Linked DNA regions of Diceros bicornis minor. Each later gene encodes a partner of the first gene's protein in a complex. Links are inferred from orthologs where the notes say so. Each region holds a gene or a part of one and is shown in the gene's direction. Other genes may lie near its edges.

The links.
Region 2: DRC1 (region 1) and DRC3 share a complex: the UniProt entries of both Homo sapiens proteins name them as parts of the nexin-dynein regulatory complex. The link is inferred for Diceros bicornis minor from reciprocal best matches to the Homo sapiens genes DRC1 and DRC3.

What each region holds. Positions count from the first base shown.
Region 1 is NC_080751.1:56,336,279-56,347,272, reverse strand, and holds the start of DRC1 (dynein regulatory complex protein 1), read left to right. Parts: upstream 1-6,762; coding exon 6,763-6,917; intron 6,918-10,994. UniProt on the Homo sapiens protein: Component of the nexin-dynein regulatory complex (N-DRC) a key regulator of ciliary/flagellar motility which maintains the alignment and integrity of the distal axoneme and regulates microtubule sliding in motile axonemes.
Region 2 is NC_080757.1:1,375,306-1,385,741, forward strand, and holds the start of DRC3 (dynein regulatory complex subunit 3), read left to right. Parts: upstream 1-6,208; 5' UTR 6,209-6,464; intron 6,465-6,676; 5' UTR 6,677-6,746; intron 6,747-6,875; 5' UTR 6,876-6,989; intron 6,990-9,936; 5' UTR 9,937-9,941; coding exon 9,942-10,101; intron 10,102-10,436. Other genes in the region: TOM1L2 (TOM1-like protein 2), read right to left, coding at 5,444-5,495. UniProt on the Homo sapiens protein: Component of the nexin-dynein regulatory complex (N-DRC) a key regulator of ciliary/flagellar motility which maintains the alignment and integrity of the distal axoneme and regulates microtubule sliding in motile axonemes.

The sequences.
Region 1 (10,994 bases):
CATTTGTATGTAGCCTTCTCACAGGTGGCCTGAGTGAGGGGGTTGTGTTGCATTTGGTGTGAAAGGGCAGGTTCCCAGAATTGGAAAGTGGCACATGGAGTGATTTTAGAATTTTTTTTTTAACAAGGGCTTGTCTCTCTAGGAAAGTCCATTTGGACACAGCAGAATGATTGTCTAGTCTTCACAGACCATTCATATTGTCTTACTCTTGACGGAATCATTCTTAGAAAGTCAGGCTAAATCAGGGTGGTGCTGTTTTAAAGCATGTGAATTGGATCATGGCCATAGAGTATCTAATGCTACATTGAAATTGGAGACAATATTGAAGACACAAGGAGTGGCTAAATGTTGTGGATGCCTTACGGCTCTTTGGCTCAAGTCTTCTCTTGAGCAGTTTCTATGGGTAACAATTCAGACTAGAATTGATTTTGGTTTTTTACACAATTCACAATTCACCATGAATTCTAGATTCTGATATTTTTGATGAGCACTTTTTAATCTCTAAAGAGTAAGTTCTTGACTAGGAACATGTTTAGTTAGTACTTGATGTTACTAACCAGGTTATAGAAGGAGCCTGTTTTAATTTTACAAGATCTGTGAATGCTGCATTATAAATTTTTTTGAATTACTGGTATCATTCAGTGTCAGATTTTGAGTTTAATAACTATTAATTAAGACCGCCCACAATATTAACAGTTATTGTAGGTTATTTCGTTTAGATAACTTATCCCATTAGAGCAGCCATTTAGGAGACAAAGACTCAGCTATATGTAATGGTTTTGCTCATTCTGAAATGTGCCGAGAAAACAAAATTCAGTATTAAACTCCAAATTTCAATATTTTTTTAAAGTAGCGTTTCCTCTGGGTAAGGGCGAAGGCTGTGAATAGTTGTGGTGTAAACTCCCCGCTGCCTGCCTTCTCCCCTTTCCCTCCCATCTAACATTAAATTTGTAGCCAATTGTAGAAAAAGAAATTGATACTTTTCTAAGTAAGGTTTCATGCCCTGTGACTAAGAATAGGTGGCAAGAATCATGGCCGAATTAATTATTGAGTTGGTTAGCATGGTCCTGTTACAGCTTGCCTTCTGTAGTATTCTGAAACAAAAGGATGATCCCATCCCTTCTCAGGTACCTAGAAACAACACCATTTAAGCAACTGGAATGTGTTTGCTACAAATAGAATATATGAGAGAAAAAGATGAAGAGGAGCACAAAGTCTTACTTTCCCTTTCAAGTAGTTTAACTGAACATGTTAGTAACTGGTCTGTCTAGGACTTGCTGTGTTCATAGTAAATAATGTAGCATTTATTTTATCTGGTTATGTGGCGTGTATATATATATACGTATTTAATATGTACACTTATATTCTCTGTGCATTTATATGTATGATATATTCATATGTACATGCAGTCTACTCTTGATTATGAGCAAAATGGTAAGCCTCATCAGACTGTTGCTTCATGTTGACTTAATCTGCAATGTAGCCCATAACTCTATGAAGTCTCTTCCTCAGCTGGAGCCAGTCTTTCCTACCTCCAGTGCATCTTGGTCCCCAAGAAAGGCCCTTGAAATGTATCACTTTCCATTTCCCTTTCAGCAGGGATTGTGTGAACCAGAAAGACAGCTTTTGAGAAAGATGGCTGCTTCCCCCAGGGTTGAGGCTTCTGGGTCTGCATGATGATGGGGCCCATTCCTGGCCAGCTCTGGGAGCAGTTGTGCTCATGGGCTTGATGGGGGAGAAATCTAGCTCTTGCAGAAATGGACCTTCGCAACTTGCTTAAATTCCTTAGCTGAAATGTTGTGAAGTCCTAGATAACATGATGTACAAATAGAGTACAGGTATGCATTTCTTCATTATTTTTGCATCATCAGTATTGCTGTTCTCCATTGCTAGCCCAGATAATCCAGACTTGACTGTTTCTTGCCACTAAATTCTGGAAGCCTTGCCCTTACAACTGGATTTATGTTTATTTCTGCTGCTGTGAAACCCAAAAGTAATGCAGTAGGTTTTAATTTAAAATTGTTTAATTCTATTATTGATAAATATTTATTGTAATAAAAGTAGAGAGTAAATGATTTTTAAATCCTTTTAATGGTTTTCGGATTGTCGTCTTTGTTTTTCCTTGGTAGGTGCAAAAGGGGAGGGACCTATGGGGAGAAAATTAACATCCAGCCACTTGTCTCAGAGAATCATTGATTATTTTAGAGCAAAACAATTAAAGGATTTTTTTTTGTTTTGTTTAAGATAAAGATCAGCCTGCTTGCTCCTGGGTGTTCCATAGTCCTGTGATTTGTTTCAGAAAGCAGGGTACTAGGCAGGCGGCAGTAACAGCTATTCATAATATACTGCTCCGAACTCCCCCAGAACTGGTCCTGGCAATATGTAATAATACTGGGTCATAATAACTGGATCACACTTAAATAGTTTGTAAGGTGGTTGTTTCATACTCAAGAAACATTTTCCCATAGAAAGAGTTCATTTTCCAGGCTAATTCTACAAGAACCTACTAACCCACACTTAATACACCAAAACTACAGTATGTAAACCATAAGCTCTTATAAAAACTCTGATTTTCTAACATTGCTTCCGAGGAGAATATTTCTTATTTTTTACATCGGAATTGATCTCCCAGTTCTGGCAGTGGACATTTAAAAAAATTGTAACAGGTTTGAAGAAGGTGGAGGAGGAAATGTCCCATATTTAACCCAAGCTAGTTCTTGGCGGGCCATTCCTAATCCCCTGCCCACCCCTTGGCTGCCCTGGCAGTTGTTCCTCCCTTCTCTGCAGACCTCACACGCCTACCTGACACCCTGCAGGTGCGTACTAGGTGACCACACTTGGGTCTATTAAACTTAGACCCTGTGCCCCAAAGTGTCTTGCTTCTCTCCCTGCTCTCATCTTGTTTCTTCTGTTCCAAATTTTCTGAAAGAAAACTTTATAACTGCTTCTTCCATTTTTCTTCTTGCTTTTCTTCTGAAAGTTTTTCAAGACCTCCCAAAGCTTTACTATAATGACTATTTCCTAGTCATGTTCAACTTTGCAAGCTTTGACCCAGGGCAAGTGACTTATTTTCTCTAAGCCTCAGTTTCCTCATCTGTAAAATTGGATTAGGAATATTACTACAATTATGTGTTATGAAGAATGCATGTAGAGTGTTCAGCACAGGAGTAGTCTAAGCTAGGTGCTCGGTTTCTAGTAATACCTAGTTCTCAGTTTTTTACCTTTGAACTTTTTCCTCAGCCTTATGACCTGCTCATGACTTGCCTTCCTCCTTCCTCCTCCCTTCTCTGTTCCTTCCTTCATACCTTTTGTAGGCAATACAGGAAGATGATGGTGAGGCAGTTCTAAAAATAACTAGAATAAAATAAGATTGCCTTCTGAGAATCTATTAGTAAAATTCACACACATTAGGAGATAGGAATAAACCAAGAAATTATGTAAATATTTGATGAATCCTCAAACCCCAATTAAGGTGATTTGATGTAACCTTATGGATGTAGAATTAAGTGTGCGACTTGACGTAGCATGCTAAAATCCAACCAATGTATCATTATTTTTCTGGAAAAAGACTGTAAGCTGAAGTAGATGGCCAGCCTGTAGCATAGCAAAGGAAGCCCCTATAGCCAGGAGGTTTTGCATGTATCACCCAAAACTTACCGAGGCATGGGGGTGCCATGCCTCAAGGACTTGACCTGTCTAATCTTTGTGGCAAGTTATACCCATTGTAGGCCACTGAGTCTGTCACAGTCTGTTGTCCATTATCAAGAAGCTTCCCAATTATAGTTTGAGTCCCTTGTAGATCAGCCATGGAGATGTGCTGGTCACAGTCATAAAACACATATGCTCTGTGTGTCAGTTGTAGTTTCTTGCTCAAATTAGTGTATTCTCTATATATTTTTCTTTCATGAGTGTATTAGCATAAGTCAATTCTCAAAAGCAGGTCTGCTTTTGGAGAATTGCCTGCCACATGAGGACTAGTCTCTGAAGGCTAGTGAATCCTCAGCGACATCCCTCCCCGAATTCCTCTCATCCGTGACAGCCCTACTACTCTTGCTTGCTGCAGTCTCTTCAGGATCTGTCACTGCTCTTTAAAAAAATAATAAATGAATAAATAAACTTTATTTTTTATTACATCAAAAGTGATTTGTGTTCTTTGTAAACTTTTTTTTTTGAATAGAGAATGAAAACCACCCATAGACCCAACCCCTAGAGAGATCAACTACTTTGTGTTCTTTCCCTGTTTTTCTTGTGTACATACTACATATACTTCAAATAAAACTGGGATCATACTCTACACTTTGTGCTGCATCTTTCCTTCCTCATTTAATAGATCTTGGATGTCTTTCTAGGTCAGATTCATTCTTTGTGACTGCATTGTTTTTCATCCTATGAATGCTTTATCAGTTCTGTTGTTGATGGATTTTGGGTTATATCCAGTTTTTTAATAACGATAATAAATTTGATTAATTAATACAAATTATTGTAAATAAATATAAATATTAATAAAAATTTAATAAAATAAATTTTTAATAACTGGGTAATAACTGCCGTGAGCATACCGATACATTTGTGTCCATTTCTTGCATTCAGCAAATGTTTGTTGAGCACTCACTACATATCAGGTATTGGGCTAGGTGCTGAACATACAGTACTGACTAAAACTGATGTCATTTTGACCCCATGGAGCTATAGCCTAGACCTATTATCTCTCAAGGATAATTCTTATAAGTAGAATTGCCTAGTCAGTGCATATGCTTATTTAAACTGTTAACAGATATTGGCAAACTGTCCTCCTAAAAGACGCCTTTCCAGCAGTGAATGAGAGTGTCTTTTTTTCCACACCTATGAATAAGCTTTATTACTTACATAATTGAGGCTGTCTGTGACAGCAAGGAAGACGTCCCAGCTGATTGGAAGATGGCTGGAGAGAGCCAGGAAAGGAGACTGTCTTGAGGCTTTCATTGTGGTTAGGCGGTGGGGGCTGGGATGAGAGGACCCAGCTCACACAGTTGGAACCTCCTGCCAGCGCCAAAGTAGAGAGCACCCAGGCCCCCTCCCTCCTTTCTTTTAATCAGCTGCCGGGATCTGGAGCAGAGAGGAAGAAAGGCGTGAGGCTTAAAAGCTGTCAACAATCAAACAGCAAAAAAAAAAGAGTCAGATTCATTACAAAAGATGTCTGGAATGAAGGTATCTGGGGACAGCTCTAAGGCCGAGTATCTCATTGATCACTTTTCATGGGTTTTGTGGCACCCCTGCTCTCTCACCTATCTGTGGTGTAACAGCTGGTTCCCACTGACTTTCAGGGTATCCTGCTCCCAGCCATAGACATGCACACACACGTGTATTTGTTTCTCTTCTCACAGATGGTAGAAACACAGACCAGAACCTTGAAGAGTTCGAGGTCAAAACTATACCTTGCTCCTCTGATTCCATGGCCCCTAGGGAAGTTTAACGCTTGAGGTTACAGCCAGAAGAGAGAGATTTGGCAGAGGACCCTGAAGCAAACATCCCCTCCCCCACCCTGGGCTAGATATGGGACAAGGATCCAGGCAGCTGTTGGACTCGGCTGCTGCAAGATTTTGGCACTCCTAAATCTCTCTACCACTTGAAGACTTGGAAAAATTAATTAAAAAAAAAAGTACTCCATTTGACTCTGGGTAGGTCTTATTCACAAAGAGCTTATCTTCTTTGGCCTCACAATTGCATGTGAGTTGAGTAGGCAGATGGTACCATATAACAGTTGAGAAAATGGTCCTCAAGAAGTTGCGACTTACCTGAGGTTGCAGGGCAGGTCTAGGACTACTACCTGCATTTTCTCACTGCTCCAGCGCCCTTTCCCGAGTTTCCCACAGGACAGTGTGACAAGACTCCGTCAAACGTTATCCAGTTTGTTTTTGAAAGGGTTTTAATTTTCAATAAGAACACTTTTTTGTTGGCAATGAGACACAAAAAACGCCCAGGATATAGTGCTTTTTCAAGGGATGGTGCTTCTTTGAGAGTTTAATTGTGCTTCTGCGCTCTTAACTTTCATTTGTACCCCACCGCCCATCCCCGCCCTCACTATTTTCCTCTGTGTATAAGCGTGTGATTGGAAGTGGTGATGGTGGGATTCTCCTAGGTTTCAGCCCTACTGAAAATGGCTACAGAAGACAACAATCCCTTGCTGGATATAAATTTAATGATAGTGGTTGCACATTCTAGAAAAGATAGGGGCTCAATGCACAAAGTAGCTCAAAAATGAATGGATGACGAATAGATGTATACAATATACTTTAGTTCAAAGTATCTGAAGAGGCAATAGGCTCAGAGTAGACCTATTATTCTGCACCCTCCATGAGGAAAGGACAACGCTTGTATCCTCAGCTCTAGCACAGTTTGGCACAGAGTAGGTGCTCAATTATATTTGATGAATATGATTTTGAGGAATATTCATTTGATGAATGAATGGTGAATTAATAATCGGGGTGAGTAAGTGATGAACTACACTTGGTCCAGCTCTTCAGTCTTCCAGGCTCCGCTAATACGACTGGGCCTTGGTGGGGGCTCAAGACGGTACTTACATCCCAACTGCAGAAGAGAACGAAACCCGAATCTGCGCTACAGCGTTCGGAATGCCGGTGGGCGGGGCCTGAGCTGCGCGCGCAATCACTGCAGCTGCGGGTCACGTGACTGCTCTTCCCTGGCAACGGCTTGTTGCTACCAACGGGGCTGCGGTCTGGCGGTGGTGGGGCGGGGCTGCCTGGGGGGCGGGAGGCATCCGCTATGAATCCGCCGGGATCGCTGGGGGTGCTGGAGGAGAAGGAGGAGGAACACTTATCGACCCCGATTCTCGGGCCCTCGATACACTCTGATAACCCTCAGGAGCGGATCCAGGCCCGGCGCCTCCGCATCGCGGCGCGCCTGGAAGCTCGGAGGCGGTGAGCGGGGTCTGGGCGGTCCGACCGCGGAGCGCCTGGAGTGCCGGTGACGCAGTGCGGGGCATGAGGGCATGGCTTCCCGGGGCGGGCGCCCCTGTGGGAGGGCTCGGCGTGCCCCAAATGTGAGCGGGCTTTGTTGATTGATGAAATGGAAAACATTTCTTCCAGAGGGTTCAAGTAAAGTATGGGATATTAGAATGTTCAACACACTAGTAAAGTCAAAGACGGAAATAATAATCCCGTCTGCACTTTTATTGAGAGCCCGCCGTGCCAGACACTGTGGGCAATCCACCGAAGATGCAGGAGATCCACCACTAGCCCTCAGGGGTCTGTCTTTCCTCCTTCCTTCCCAGCCTGCCTCCCTTCCACAAGTATGTATCCAGTGGACCTCAGCTACCACTTCTGCTGGTCTCAGTGGCTTATCTGCTTGTGGACACAAACCCTCATTCCCAAAGGGTCTGAGACTGATAACCATACCCTTCTCAGGCAAGAGTTGCTGCCCTTGTCCATTCGCAGACACAGTGGGCTGTCATAATGGGGTACCAAGAGACACTGCGTGATCCCCTGAATTCCTTAACACTCTCACTGTGTAACAGCACTTATACCTTGTCCTGCTGGTCAGGGTCAGCTGCGCTGCCAAGATGGGACTTCTCTTCTTGTCTGCTGGCCATCGGACACAAGGGGCCCAAAGTGGCATGGCAGTATTCCAACAAAACTTTCCTCATGGACACTGAAATTTGAATTTCATGTAATGTTCACGTGTCACAAAATATTCTTCATATTTCGATTTTGTTTCTACATTAATAAACTTCATTTTTTTAGAGCAATTTTAGGTTCGACAGAAAAATTAAAGGTAAAGTACAGAGATTTCCCATGTACCTCCTGCCCCCACACATGCTTAATGTCCCTCACTATCAACATCCCCTACCAGAGTGGTACATTTGTTACAATTGATGAATCTGCATTAACACATCATTATCACCCAAAGTCCATAGTTTATATCATGGTTCACTGTCGGTGTTCTCTGAATTTTGGCAAATATATAATGACATGTATCCACCATTGTAGTATCATACAGAATAGTTTCACTGCCCTAAAATCCTCTGTGCTCTGCTTATTCATCTTGATCTTTTTAAAAAACCGTTTAAAAATGTAAAAATCCTCACCTGTAAGCCATACAAAACAGGTGGGTCAGATTTGGTCCACATGCTGTTGTTTGCCAACCCTGATGTAATGGATCACTGTGACATTCTGTGGAATGTCCAGATGGTCCTGATCTGTTCAGACTATATTTTGACAGAGATCGGGAGAATTAACATGGCCTTGTGAGTGTGAGGGCTATGTGAGTATATATTATTATCTGTTCCATGTAAATGGGAACTTCCTGATCCTTTTTCCTGATTGAGGTAGAAAATAATGCATTTGGTCAATGAGTGGCCACGTTCCATGCACCTAAGGCCACACCGATCTGCTCTAGTAAAGGCTGCATGGCACTTGCAAGGCAGCTGCCATCAGGACTGCTACTTGGTTGAGCTTGCAGTAATTGACGATAATTTTCTCAGATCTATGCAGTTTTTGCAGGGGCCAGACCTGTGAATTAAATGCAGACTTGATAGGCACCACCACTCCTGCATCCTTGAGATCTTTAAGGGTGACACTAATCCCCACCATCCCCCTGGTCTGCGATATTGTTATTTTATGCACTCAAATGCAGTTTCGGAGGGGCCCATTTTGCCTTCCACACCATGATAGCTCTTACCTACAGACCAAGGACCTAATGTGGGAGTTTCTTAAATTTCTATGTATGTTGAGATCACTCTGGTGGCTCTTTGGGGAATGGTTTGGAGGAGCCAGAAGTGAAAGTAAGGAGACTAGTTAGGAAGCAGTTGCATTGGTCCAGGTGAGAGATGAAGTTGGTCTGGGCTAGTTAGTGGCAGTGGGTTTGGAGAGAAAACAGATGTACTCAAGACATATTTTGGAGTTGAAATTGACTGGATTTACTGATTGATTGGATATGCTGGTAAAAGACAGGGAAAAAGCAAGAATGGCTTGAGCATTTAGGTAGATGGTAGTGCCTTTCGTTGAGAGGGTAAAGACAGTGATGGGGGTAGTGAGGCTGGAATTGGAAATCAAGAGTTTGGTTTTGAACATATTAAGCAAAGTTGGATTTTGTAAGACATTAAAATTGAGATGTCCGATAGGCAGCTGGATATGGGTCTTAAATGCAGAAGAGAATTCTGCATTAGAGATATTAGTGCAAAGAGTCAGCAGCCTTATGATTGTATTTAAAACCATGGGACTGAATTAAATTACACTGAGAAAGAGGATAAAAAGAGATGAGAAGAGAGTTCGTGACCAAGCCCCGAAAAAGCCCAGCATTTAGAAGTTGATAGCAGAGGAAACATTGACAAAGGGTCATCTCTGTCATATGAAGATGGGGTTAGAATGGCCAATTGATGCTGGTGAAAAAACAAATCTGTGAGATGCAGTGGTGTACCTAATGAAGTTAACACCTGGAGCAGGTAATTTTTAAAGTACAGATAATAATAATAGCCTGAAAAGAAAAGTTTATTGAACTTTGTTTATATAACCATGCCAATAAAATTTTTTAAAATAAAATTTACAGTACAAAACAAGAAAAAGCTAATGGATCAATACTTTTAAATTACATTAATGTATTTTTGGGAAAAAAAGGAAGAAATCATATGAAGAAATGTTTCCAAAAGAATGAATTCTGCAAGGTTTAGAGAACGAGTTGCATATAGAATGATAGAATTGAAATAACTCAAGTTCGGTTTCTCTGTGTTTTCAATAACTGGGCTCTTGTTGTTTATGTCATGTCTCTTTTCTGCAAGGATATGTAGTATCTCAGGGGTACGCTGTGCCTGAGAGAGCTGGGACAGTTGTGAACCATTTCAGATGTGCTCTCAGAACACATGCCTGCAGCTGGGGTCATGTGTGTCAGAGGCCAACTGGATAACTGCAAGTTCTCTGAAGTAACTTCTTTGTTAATTAGAGGATAAGGAATAAAAAGTTGCTACATTGAAGCTTATATATATATTATTAAAATCAACAGTAACTGAGCAATTGTTTAGAACTTAGATTAACAAAAGATTTTCCAAGAAAAAGTGTTTTTTTTTTTGTTTGTTTGCTGAGAAAGATTTGCCCTGAGCTAACATCCGTTGCCAATCTTCCTCTTTTTGCTTAAGAAAGATTAGCCCAGAGCTAACACCTGTGCCAGTCTTCCTCTATTTTGTATGTGGGTCGCTGCCACAGCATGGCTGACGCACCCGGGAACTGAACCCGGGCCACCGAAGTGGAGTGTGCCAAACTTAACCACTAGGCCACAGGGCTGGCCCCCGGAAAGAAGTTTTATCACTGACATTGTTTTGTTGCTGGCACATGGTGATAATAAAAAGCAGACTGACTTTTAGTCAGTTGTATTGTTTTAACATTATCTATAGTCTCCTTGATTGCCTCTGGTGCCCACTGCCCTACTGCCTGAGCCTTGGTATGTCAATGGGGTGTAGTTTTAGGGAGAAAGCTGTTAACAGAATCAAATGTCATATAAAGATAAAGAGTAGGGTTAATAGGTAACACCCTCAAAACTCCCAATCTCTCGTCTCAATTGAAGTTTCAAATTTCTGGAAGATGTCACTTCTGAGAAAAGAAGGCAAATGGAATGCATACATGTACTTTGGCTCTCTATCAAAACTCCATTAAAATGACATTTAAAGGGATTAAGTAAAAAAGAGACATAAACTCACAAAGACAAGAAAAACAGGAGGACTCAACAGCAACAAAATTTTGGAAGCTGGGAAGCATAGGGACAGATGGTAAATGGCTTAGCAGATTCAAGAATATGGAAATATAAACCGGTCGTGAGGAAAGCTGAGAGCCCCCTGAATTACTTTGAGGTAAATCTCTAAAAGACTAGGAAGTTGGTAACGTCAGGTTCATCTGGATGTAGGGGTGAAGACAGGGACTAAAATAAGGAGAATTGATTGGAAATTAATAGTTAGATGGCAAGAACCTTTCTCCCACTTTGCATAGAAGACTGGAGGTTTGGAGAAAGTA
Region 2 (10,436 bases), on another chromosome or scaffold:
TCTGGAGCCAGAATGCTGGGTTCCAACTCCAGCCCTTCACTGCTGGTTGCGTGACCTTCTCATGCCTCAGTGTCCCTGTCTGCAAAATGGAAGTAATAACAGTACCTTACTCAGAGTATTGTTGTGAGGATTAAAGGACTGCAACATATATAAAGTGCCTACTTTAGTCTCTGGCACATAGTAATACAAAACTGAACTTTAAAAAAAGCAAAATCCTTTACCTATTATTATTACTACTGGAGGTAACTCCTTCCCTCCTCCATCCCCTTACTTCATTTATCTGTCCAATCTCATGCCACCACTTTCTGTCTTACCTGATTTAGGTACCTGTCTTAGCTCCCTTAGTAGACTGAACGTCCTGGTAAATACTTAGCTTGGAATCTACAGTCAATATACAGCCACTGAATGAATGAATGAACTCTAAATAATCATACTTACAGTCTGTCCATAAGAAAACCCACATTTAATGTTTGAAGAAAGATAAAGAAGAGATCAAAGAGGCAGAACTTCTCATCTAGAGCAACAGTTTTCAAAGTGTGGTGCCTGGAGCAGCATCAGCATTACTTGGGAACATGTTAGAAACGTAGAATGTGAGACCCCTTGCCAGACCTAGGGAATCAGAAACCCTGAGAGTGGGGCCCAACAATCTGTTTTAACAAGCCCTCAAGGTGCTCCCAATGCCCTGAATCATGGGATCCATAGAGCCAGAGGCAACATGACAGCACAGAGTGAGCACTGGATCAGGAGCGGATTCTAGGCTTAACTCTGGTATTGACCTTGCACAAGTCTCTCAACCTCTCAACTTCCTTATAAGCAATACAGGGACAACAGCACTCAAATAATTTTTTTTTTTTTTGTGAGGAAGATCAGCCCTGAGCTAACATCCATGCCAATCCTCCTCTTTTTTTGCTGAGGAAGACTGGCCCTGGGCTAATCTTCCTCCGTACCCATCTTCCTTCACTTTATATGGGACGCTGCCACAGCATGGCCTGACAAGTGGTGCATTGGTGCACGCCTGGGATCCGAACCCAGGCTGCCAGCAGCAGAGTGCGCACTTAACCGCTACACCACGGGGCCAGCCCCAATTTTTTTTTTTAAGATTTTGTGTTTTTTGGTGAGGAAGATTAGCCCTGAGCTAACATCTGTGCCCATATTCCTCTGTTTTGTGTATGGGACACCACCACAGCATGGCTTGATAAGCAGTGCATAGGTCAGCGCCCAGGATCCGAACCTGCGAACCCTGGGCTGCCGAAGCAGAGCACACAAACTTAACCGCTACGCCACCGGGCTGGCCCTCAAATAATTAAATGTTGAGGGGATTAAGGGCCTGGTGGTTAAGCTCAGCATGGTCCACTTTGGCAGCCCGGGTTCAGTTCCCAGGCGGGGACCTACACCACTCGTCGGTGGCCATGCTGTGCCAGTGACCCACACACAAAATAGAGGAAGATTGGCAACAGATGTTACCTCAGGGCGAATCTTCCTCAGTAAAAAAAAAAAGCGATCCCATGTACAGAGTGGGGCTTAATAATTATAAGTTCCTTTCGGTTCTCTTCCTGTGTATCTCACAGGGTTGTAAAGACTAAATAAAAAGATTGAAGCAAAAGGGCTTTGTGAATTGCCAACTGCCATAGCAATCTGAGGGACGACTAATCAGCCTTGGTACAAACAGCCACACTAGAGTCAAACGCTAGCATTCACAGGGCACTAGGAAGCAGTTTACGTCCAACACCATCCAATCTGCAAACACAAACCCACAACAGAATATCTGCTGCTTACACGTTTATTAAAGCAGAACCACGAAGAGAATAAATGATCTTCCCTGCCCACCCCCAATATTCTGTTCAGAGTTAACTAGCTACTCTCTGATCCTTTAACCTAAATGAACCCAAACTTGACTCTTGGAAAAGGATTATCTGAAAGTGTTTTCCAGCCACCACAAGGAAAACCGCAGACACCTGCAGAGCACCATGGCCCTGACTCAGGGAACTCCTGACGTGTGAATCCAACGCCAGCGGTCATCCAAATCCCAGCGGTCGTGCAGGGCTGAGACAAGACAGTAACGTTCTGAAACTTGTTTCAGGAGAGAAAAATCAGGAAATAAAAGTAAGTGCTTTTTCTTTCTCCACACTCCTTAGGCTCGTACACCACTGCAGCTCTGTCCGGAACGACGCATCCTACTCAGGAGCCACCTTCCGGGGCAGGGCTGACGTGAGAATTGCACAGATGACCAAGTCAGACTGTGGGCTTAGCTGCTAGCTCAAGAGGGCAGACTGTGTCTTTGAGCAAACAGCACCAAGTCAGAATGTGCCTGTGAGGCCCAGGCAGGAGACAAAGTAACAATTACTCTACTGACACTCAGACTAGGAGCCTACTGCTTTGCAGCTCCAGGATACCTTTGGTGACGTGATACCTCTGCTGAAGGCTCCCTGACAGCAACTCTTTAATATCTGTATGCCAGAGCCTGGCACTCCACAGGCACTCAAAACGCCTCCTGAATTGGACTGATGGAATTATTTAGGTCCAAGCCCTGTGCAGCTGTTGAGAGGTATTCTTTTTTGAGGAAAATAAGGTTCAGGGAGAGTAAAAGCTGAAGTCAGCTAAAGAATCTCGTCTTTGATGTCACCCAGCCAGAACAGGGCTTCACCCTGGGCCAAAAGCGTACCTGCCACTGTTGCCCACAGCCACCTCTGTTCCCCTCAGACTGGCGCTCACAGACGTGCCCACACCCTTCCTGCCTCCTTTACCTGTCCCCAGGCATAGATGTCTCCTTCTCTCACTGGAGAAGTCACACCCATCCTCATGAACAGCCCTTGGACTCAAGGAAGCCAATCCCACCCCCCCGGCTCTTCTGAATTCCTTTGGACTCCAAACAGCACTGACAGTCCCCACCACTCGACTGAGCACTGAGCTACGGAGTGGCCTTCTGTTAGTCGTCATTGTTCCATACACCTCTCTTCTCTCCCCTGACACCAGAAAGCCCTTGAGGACCGGGACAGTTGTGAAATCCCAGCTCTCCCTCTTACCAGCTGAGCCATCCCTTCACTCCTTGAGCCTCAGATTCCTCATCTCTAAAGTGAGAAGGACAATAAAACCCACTTCACAGAGCAGCTGTAAGGAGCAAACAATGGCTGTAGAACTGCTGTGTGTAAGCTATCACTGCTGCATTTCATCATTAGCTCTGCGGTTGTTTTATTTCTGTATGCCCCTCCCTCCCATCAACCCCCAGCACATACTTTTAAAAGAATACTAACAATACTACATGTCAAGAAAGCCACTTTTACACTTTGTCACAACAGTACAGAATAGACATTAGTACCTCATTCTGTCCTCTAATCATTGATCAGAACTGAACTGACTGTGAAATGACCTAGGCCTTGCCTGCTGACTAAGTGGCAATGAGGAGGCTTCATTCCCTTTGTGGTCCAGTGTCTGTTATAAGGGATGGTGGATGCTGGGGCCTGGAAGGGTATTTTCCTTCACAGGTCACAGACAGGCCAGCTGTCCCTCATATCCTCTCCAGGGAGAAAATCCAGCCCTAACTTCATGATTCTGTGTGAGCAGTGACAGCCCCAGTTCACTGAGCCTCAGCTGTGTTCCAGGCACTGTGGTAAGAGTTGACACGCATCATCTCACTTAAGCCGCACTACTCTGTGAGTACCTATCAACCTCTCTCTCTCAGCAAACTAAGGCTCAGAAGGGTTACACAATCTTCTGGGGTCACACAGCCAACAAATGGACAAGGTAAGATTCAACTCAGGTCTTCCTGACAGAAGCATCATGCTCTTTCCATTCACTACATTCCCCTACATCCCTTATATTTGTATATTTTTAAATCCCCTTTAACTTCTACCCCTCATCAAATACCTTGGCATTTCAAAGGTGTAGAGCTTCCTACTGTAAAAGAGACAGAAAAGAAAAAAAAAATCCCCCAAGCTTACTGGCTCCCTCCAAAAACTGGTTGGAATTCAACACCCAACTGAGAAATTAGTTTTTGGAGTATGGCTGCAGTGAACGAACACCTGAGGAAAGGAAATGAGGAAGAAAGGGGCGTGAAAACCTAGAGGAACACGGGAGGTAGTCCACAGAGATGGGAAAAGACTCTTCCCAAGCCCAGTGTCCACCATCCCTTACCAAAGACGTTTCACCACAGAGAAAAGAAAGGCTCCCAAATGCCAGCTAGCCAACAGAAGAGACCTCAGTAATTTCACAGGCCCCACTCAAGGCTGAAACATAAGCTGGAAATTCATAAGTAAAGCAGAAAATAAACAAGTCACTTCTGCCCAAACCAGCCAGGCCCATAAGGACACCAAAGCTCCCTGCTGATAAAAGACCTTTTACCAGCCCCTCCACAAACCAGGAGGAACTCAGTTTTAAAAGAAACTAATCAACGTTCTTGACTGAGCACTTGGCATAAGCTCCTGCCTTGGGTGAAAAGGCAAGTTGCTTTTTCAGTAAGGAAATCTCATATGGTGGCCACACAGGTGTCCCTTCACTAGCCTTGGGCTTTCCTTACCCAGGATACTGGTCATCTCTGGTGCCCTCTTCCGGGGACCCAGAGCCCCCTATAGGATTAACAGGTACTGCCAAGTACCCCTCTCTCTACACTGCCACCAAAAGATTTCATCTTTGGCAAATTTAATGTAGCAAGAAAGCAACAGTCAATGTGCAGAGGTTGCTACAAGGACTATCAAAACTTGAGCATTTGAAGGGACCTACCACATCTCACCTCCAAACACCTCATTTGACAGACAGGAAAAACGTGAAGCCAGAAAGGGCAAGGTCATAGGGAGGATAACTGGCAAAGGCTCCACTGGAGCCCAGGCTTCCTGATTCCCAGTCCAGGGCTCTTATCATTGAATAGCACGGCCCCCCTTCTTCCCGGAGGCAGTGCAGGCATGCCAGCCCCCCTGCCAAGATCGTCACCCTCTAGGAACCCCTCCCCCTTCCCAGTCCCTCCTACGGCCTAGCCTAGCCGAGTTGCAGCTCTAATTAGCAAGTCTCAGGGCAGGGAGCGTTCTCTGGGAGGGTGCCCAGTCCGCGGGCTGCTGGTCTGAAAAGGAGGAGCAGGGATGCAGGGAGAGGCGTCTGGGAGAACCGGGTCCCGGCGGCAGTGGCAGCGAGACTGTCGGGCTGGACAAGGGCGCACGCAGTGGCATCTCCCAGGAGGCGCGGGGTAGGCCGACAGCGCGGGCACCACCTCCAGGAGCCGGGGGGAGCCGGGCCCCGAGGGGGAGGGCCGCGCGGAGCATCTCCAAGTCCCAGCTGGCCTCGGGGCGCCGCCTGGCAGGGTGGCACCGACGCCGTGAGCAGGCCCGGCCCGCCCGCGGGCAGGGGCCCGGCGACCAGGAGGTGGCCCCGGTGCCCGCAGAGGCCCGTGGTCCTCTCCGGCCCTGTCAGCCGCCGCCGTCGCCCAACCAGACGCCCTCCCTTCGCGCGGCCTTACCGAGGCACTGCCCCACCGGGGTGCTGAACGGGTTGCCCAGGAGGAACTCCATCTTGAGCGGTCAGCACGGCAGCCGTCCAGAGCCCTGTTAGCCGGCTGGTCTCCGCTGTACCCCGCCGCGCTCCCGACCTGACTGACACTTGCCCCCGCCCCACCCTCTAGAGCGCCGAACGCGCGGCCCCTGACCCCGCCCCCTTGTCGCGTCCCTATTGGGCAACGCCTGCCCTGCCCTCCTCCGATTGGGCCCTACGGCTTCCCGAGCGAAGCCCCACCTACCCCGCGCTGTCCGATTGGGCGGAGGAGTGAGCTCAGTCACAGGAACCTCCCTCAGGCGTAGTGACACCGCCCCTGGCCCGCCTCCGAACGAGAGTTTGTGCGCTTTGATTCCTTTATATATTGGTCAAGCTAGGGAATCCTTATGATTATTGGAGAACAGACGAGTCAATCACTCAAATAGGGGGCGGGGAAGAGGCGGGGCTAAGTATATCCCCGCCCGTAGAAAGTGCTGATTGGAGAAACATTTGTTTTCTCTCCGGCTGGTTGGTGGCAGGAGTATTCCCCCGCCCAGAAACGTGGTCACGTGCCCCCTCAACTTTCACTCAGGATGTCAATCTTCTGACTTCCCGTTAGCAACGGAGTGGTGGCGCTTGGTTTCCCTAGCAACCGGGCAAAGTGGCTGCTGCGTGGAACCAGCCCGGTAGCCCGCGCTTGAGAAGGTGAGATCCGAAGCTGAGGTTCCGGGAGGACTCGCAGGGGCAGACAGCGCCCCGACGTAATTCTCTGACCTTTTACTCCGAGAAGTGCGGCCGGCCCTTATCATCTGCAAAATGAGCACACAGATCCCCTGCCAGCCACTTTGCAGCGGCGCTGAGACAGTCAGAACGCTAGTACCCGGGCTTTCAGGCCTGCGGATGAGAAAAAAAGGCTAAGGAAGCATTTCCTTGGGGAGCAGGGCTCGAAGAGATGTTTAAGGGGTTCCATCTCCCAGCCTCCTGGCCTGATCCCTTTCGTAGAAACAAAGGTACCCGAAAGAAAGATCCACTGATAACTTCTTCAAGAATTTAATCCTCATATCCGACCTCTTAACTGTCGTTAAATTATTTCTCTTATTTTTATTCTTCATCTTGGTGCTGTATAAAGTGCTTTGGGTGGGAATATGGATACTCAAGTTCCATGTCTGTCTCTTGTCAGTAGTTCCTTGTATGACTGTGGACAATTTCCTTTCCCTTCCAGGTCTCAGTTTCCCCATCTGGGAAGTTAGGGCATTAGGACTCCCTTCTCTGATGGCGTCCGGAGCTGACAGGTAATTAAATGACACATGTGCACTTAGTACCCAGTAAGCACTCAGTAAATGGTTGATTTTCTTCTTATTAATTCATCGCCAATAGGGGCTATATTTTTCAGATCCAATTAATCCCAGGTTGTTTCCCAGGACAATTCTGGATCTGTTTCTCCTGAGGAGGCTACTCCACTGACAGTGATGTAAAACTCTCCACTGCCTTCCCCGTCTCCAACCTCTGATCTACAGTGACAACACTGTCCTCAGGCAAGTCAACAGGAACCCAGATTGGGTGGTAAATTACTGATAAAATCCTCTTAAGGGAAGAGAATTCGGGCCTTGGCCCTGACCCAGAACAGCTGTGAGAAACATTGTGACAATGTTAGAGCTGTGACAGTGACAGTCCACAGTACCCTGGGTACAGTTGAGTCATGGTTAAGAAATTGGGCTCTGGAGTCATGTTCTCCTGCCTCTGCCGTATACATGTGTAAACTTGTGCATGTTACTTAACCTTTCTAACTAGCTTCCATTTTCTTATCTGAAAACTGCAGATGATCAGTCCCGCATGTAAATTAAGTTCCTAGAGATCTCTCAAATCCACATCTTACCACCAACCACCCTGGGCATCTCTCACGTCACGACTCTTGCCATTCTCAGTACTACAGCCAGAGAGAGCTTCTTAAAATTAAAATCTGATCATGCCACTGCTCTTATTAAGGCCCAGGAGCTTCCCAGGGGTCCCAGGATAATAATTGAACTCCTGTCGACCTTTTCAACCTTGCGTTGCTTCAGCCAAAGTGGAACATGTCTTGTTCTCTCCCACCTCAGGGCCCTCACTATGCGATTCCCTTTCTTCTTTCCACTCCTCCTTCAGATCTCAGCCCCATCTCCTCCGGCCAGGCCAGGTGCCCCTAATGTATGCTGTCAGAGTTCCCTACACCTACAAACTTGTCACTGTTTGTAATTAAACATTTCTTTGATTATCTGATTCATGTCTGAAACAGAGGTAAGGAGATCTGTCTGTTTTATTCATAGTATGTAGTAGCTATTCATTACGTGTGTGGACTAAATAAATGATCTTAAACAAATGTAGGAAGGAGGAATTATTCATCTTTTACAGATGGGAAATCGAGGGCTTAGACAGGTGAAGTGAGTTGCCAAAGGATGCACAGTCAGGATCCAAATCCTGCCCTTGTGTGCATAACAGCTGTTCCATGTTGCATAGCCATTGTCGGGCTTGACTGAAGGCAAGCTTGATCTGTCACAGGTGCCAGGCCTTGACGACGTGGGAGGGATGAGAAGTCAAAGTTTTGAAATCAGAATTTAGAATCATTTCCCAAAGTGCAGCACCTTTCTTTAAAAAAACACAAACACTTTGCAGGTAACATCTGCCAAATGCAGCACAGTAAAATTTCCCCAAAGGCAAGCTATGGGAAATCTTGGAAAAATTTGTTTCAGAAGAGTAGGGAGATGGAGAGAGGCAGAGGACTGGAAACATCTTCAGGAGGTGAATCAATCACCCTAAGGAGATAGAGCCAGTGTTGACAGATTGGAGAGAATGGGAAGATGGAAGGCACAAGTGGAAAAGGGGTGTGGGGGGAGGGAGGAGGGTGTAGGTAGTGGGTAGGAGAGGCTGTGCCTCCTCTGGGGACAGAAAGAAAGGACACATAAGAGTTAAAGGCACTAGGACATTTGATTGTGGACAGTCCAGAAATGAAAGATGCATATGTGCATAAGCTGCATCCAAGTGGATGGTGGGGGAGGAGGGAGGGAGGGCAGCCAGGCAGTGGCAGTCTCTAAGACCAGGTGGCAGGATTGCCAGGCCCACCTGGGTTTGCGGTGGACACCATCAGTCCACCGCCAGGAGTCTCTCCAACAGCGCTCAGTAGAATAAAGAGCAGAACACAGGGGCTGCCCAGCATCAGGGACCAGAAGGCAGGAGGTTCAGGGAGGCCAGGATATTGGGGATGCACCTGGACAAAGGTAGAAGGTGAAGCCGGCAGGGAAGTGAGAAGCAGAGGTGGAAAGCAGAAGGGAGGACCTAGTTTCCACAGGGTGTAGGAGGCAGAATCTGGAAGTTTCCAGTAGACTGATAGGAGAGGGTGCCTTCCTGCAGCATCCAGCGCTTCTGGATGTTCTCATTAAGAGGGTTAGTGATGAGAATGATGTCAGGCACCCCAGCTTCCCAGGGCTGTGGCTTTGTCCAGCCAGGAATAGCAGCCCAGTGTCAGCCTCACAGTGTGAGTGAACAAGTCCACAGATTTCCCCTTTGCCTGTGGTATTTCAGCCAAATCCCCTTGGACCGTTAGCGACAGAAACCTACTGGAGTTAGTTTAAGTAAAAGAAGATTTAATGCGAGAAGTCAGGACACTCTCACAGGAGAGGAAGAAGCCCTCACAGGTCCTGGAATTAGGGACATTAGGGGCCAGAAAGCTAGCAAGGAGAAGGCAGTCTCTATGTCAGTCTGTCTGTCTTTTTGTCTTTTTTTTTACTGGATCCCATCTCTGCTTCTCTCTGTCTGCCTCATCCCTCTCTTGCTCTCTCTGCTTAACCACGTGCCTGGCCAGTCCACGGTCCCCCAGTTCCTCCCCAGCTCAAGCAGCCAGCTCTGATGGGCACTCATCCTCTGGCCCCAAGCTCAAATTTCTCAGTGGGAGGACATGAATGGCCGGCTTGGGTCAGTATCCACCTATGCACTGGGCAGCTTCTGGTATGTGTGTGTGGGGAGTACACATATGACTGCCTGGAAGGGATGAGGCTCTCAAAGAAGGGGCATTGCAGGCTGGTATGCCTGGCTGGGGCTGCCAAGGGTCATGATCAGTGGTTGGTGCCAAGAAACCCAAACAAGGATGGGCACAGAAAGCCAAAGGCCTGAGATGGCCCCGGCTGTAAGGGAGCAGAGCTCCAGAGGCTCAAGAAACCGGTGTGGACACCGGTCCACTTCTCTGGGGTAGAGGCACAGCTGTGGTTGTGGGGCCAAGGGGTGCACCCCTGAGGATGGGCACCAGGCAGGATGGGTACAGATGTTTGCCGGGGAAGCCCTGGAGCAGCCTTCGTGCAGATGTATGAACCCCTAGGTCCAGTGGGAGGAGGGTGGATTTCAGAGTGTCTTTGGCCACCACGATGCTCCACAACCTTACAAGGACCTCAGCCAGAACTGGTCCTCCAACAAAGGGAGAAGCGGAGTGTGGGAGAGGAACGTGGTGTTTTTCAGGGAAGATGAACCGGCTGTGCGACTCGATGGAGCCGAGAGTGATGGATGACGACATGCTTAAGCTGGCTGTGGGGGAGCAGGGCCCACAGGACGAGGCTGGGCAGCTGGCCAAGCAGGAAGGTATCCTCTTCAAGGATGTCCTGTCCCTGCAGCTGGACTTCCAGAGTGCGTATCCCAGGGTGGGGTGGGTGCACCAAGCAGGGCCCCGGCTTTCTCTGCTCTACCTTCTACAGAGCCCCAGAATTCCACACAATGTCCATATAAAAAGATAAAATTTTCCCACTCCAAGTCTAAGTGAACCACAAAGGTCACTCTGTTTCCACCTCAGACTCCACACGGATGTCCTTAGAGCGCGCCCCTCGGCAGGCAGAACCCGGGAGGGGTCCCAAGCAGCCAGGCAGGAGCAGTGGGGAGGAGGAGGATGTCTACTGGGAGAGCAGCTTCCGAAGAGGGGCGGGAGCCAGGAGGGGCCCAGGGCCATGCAGCAGGGAGGTGCCTCA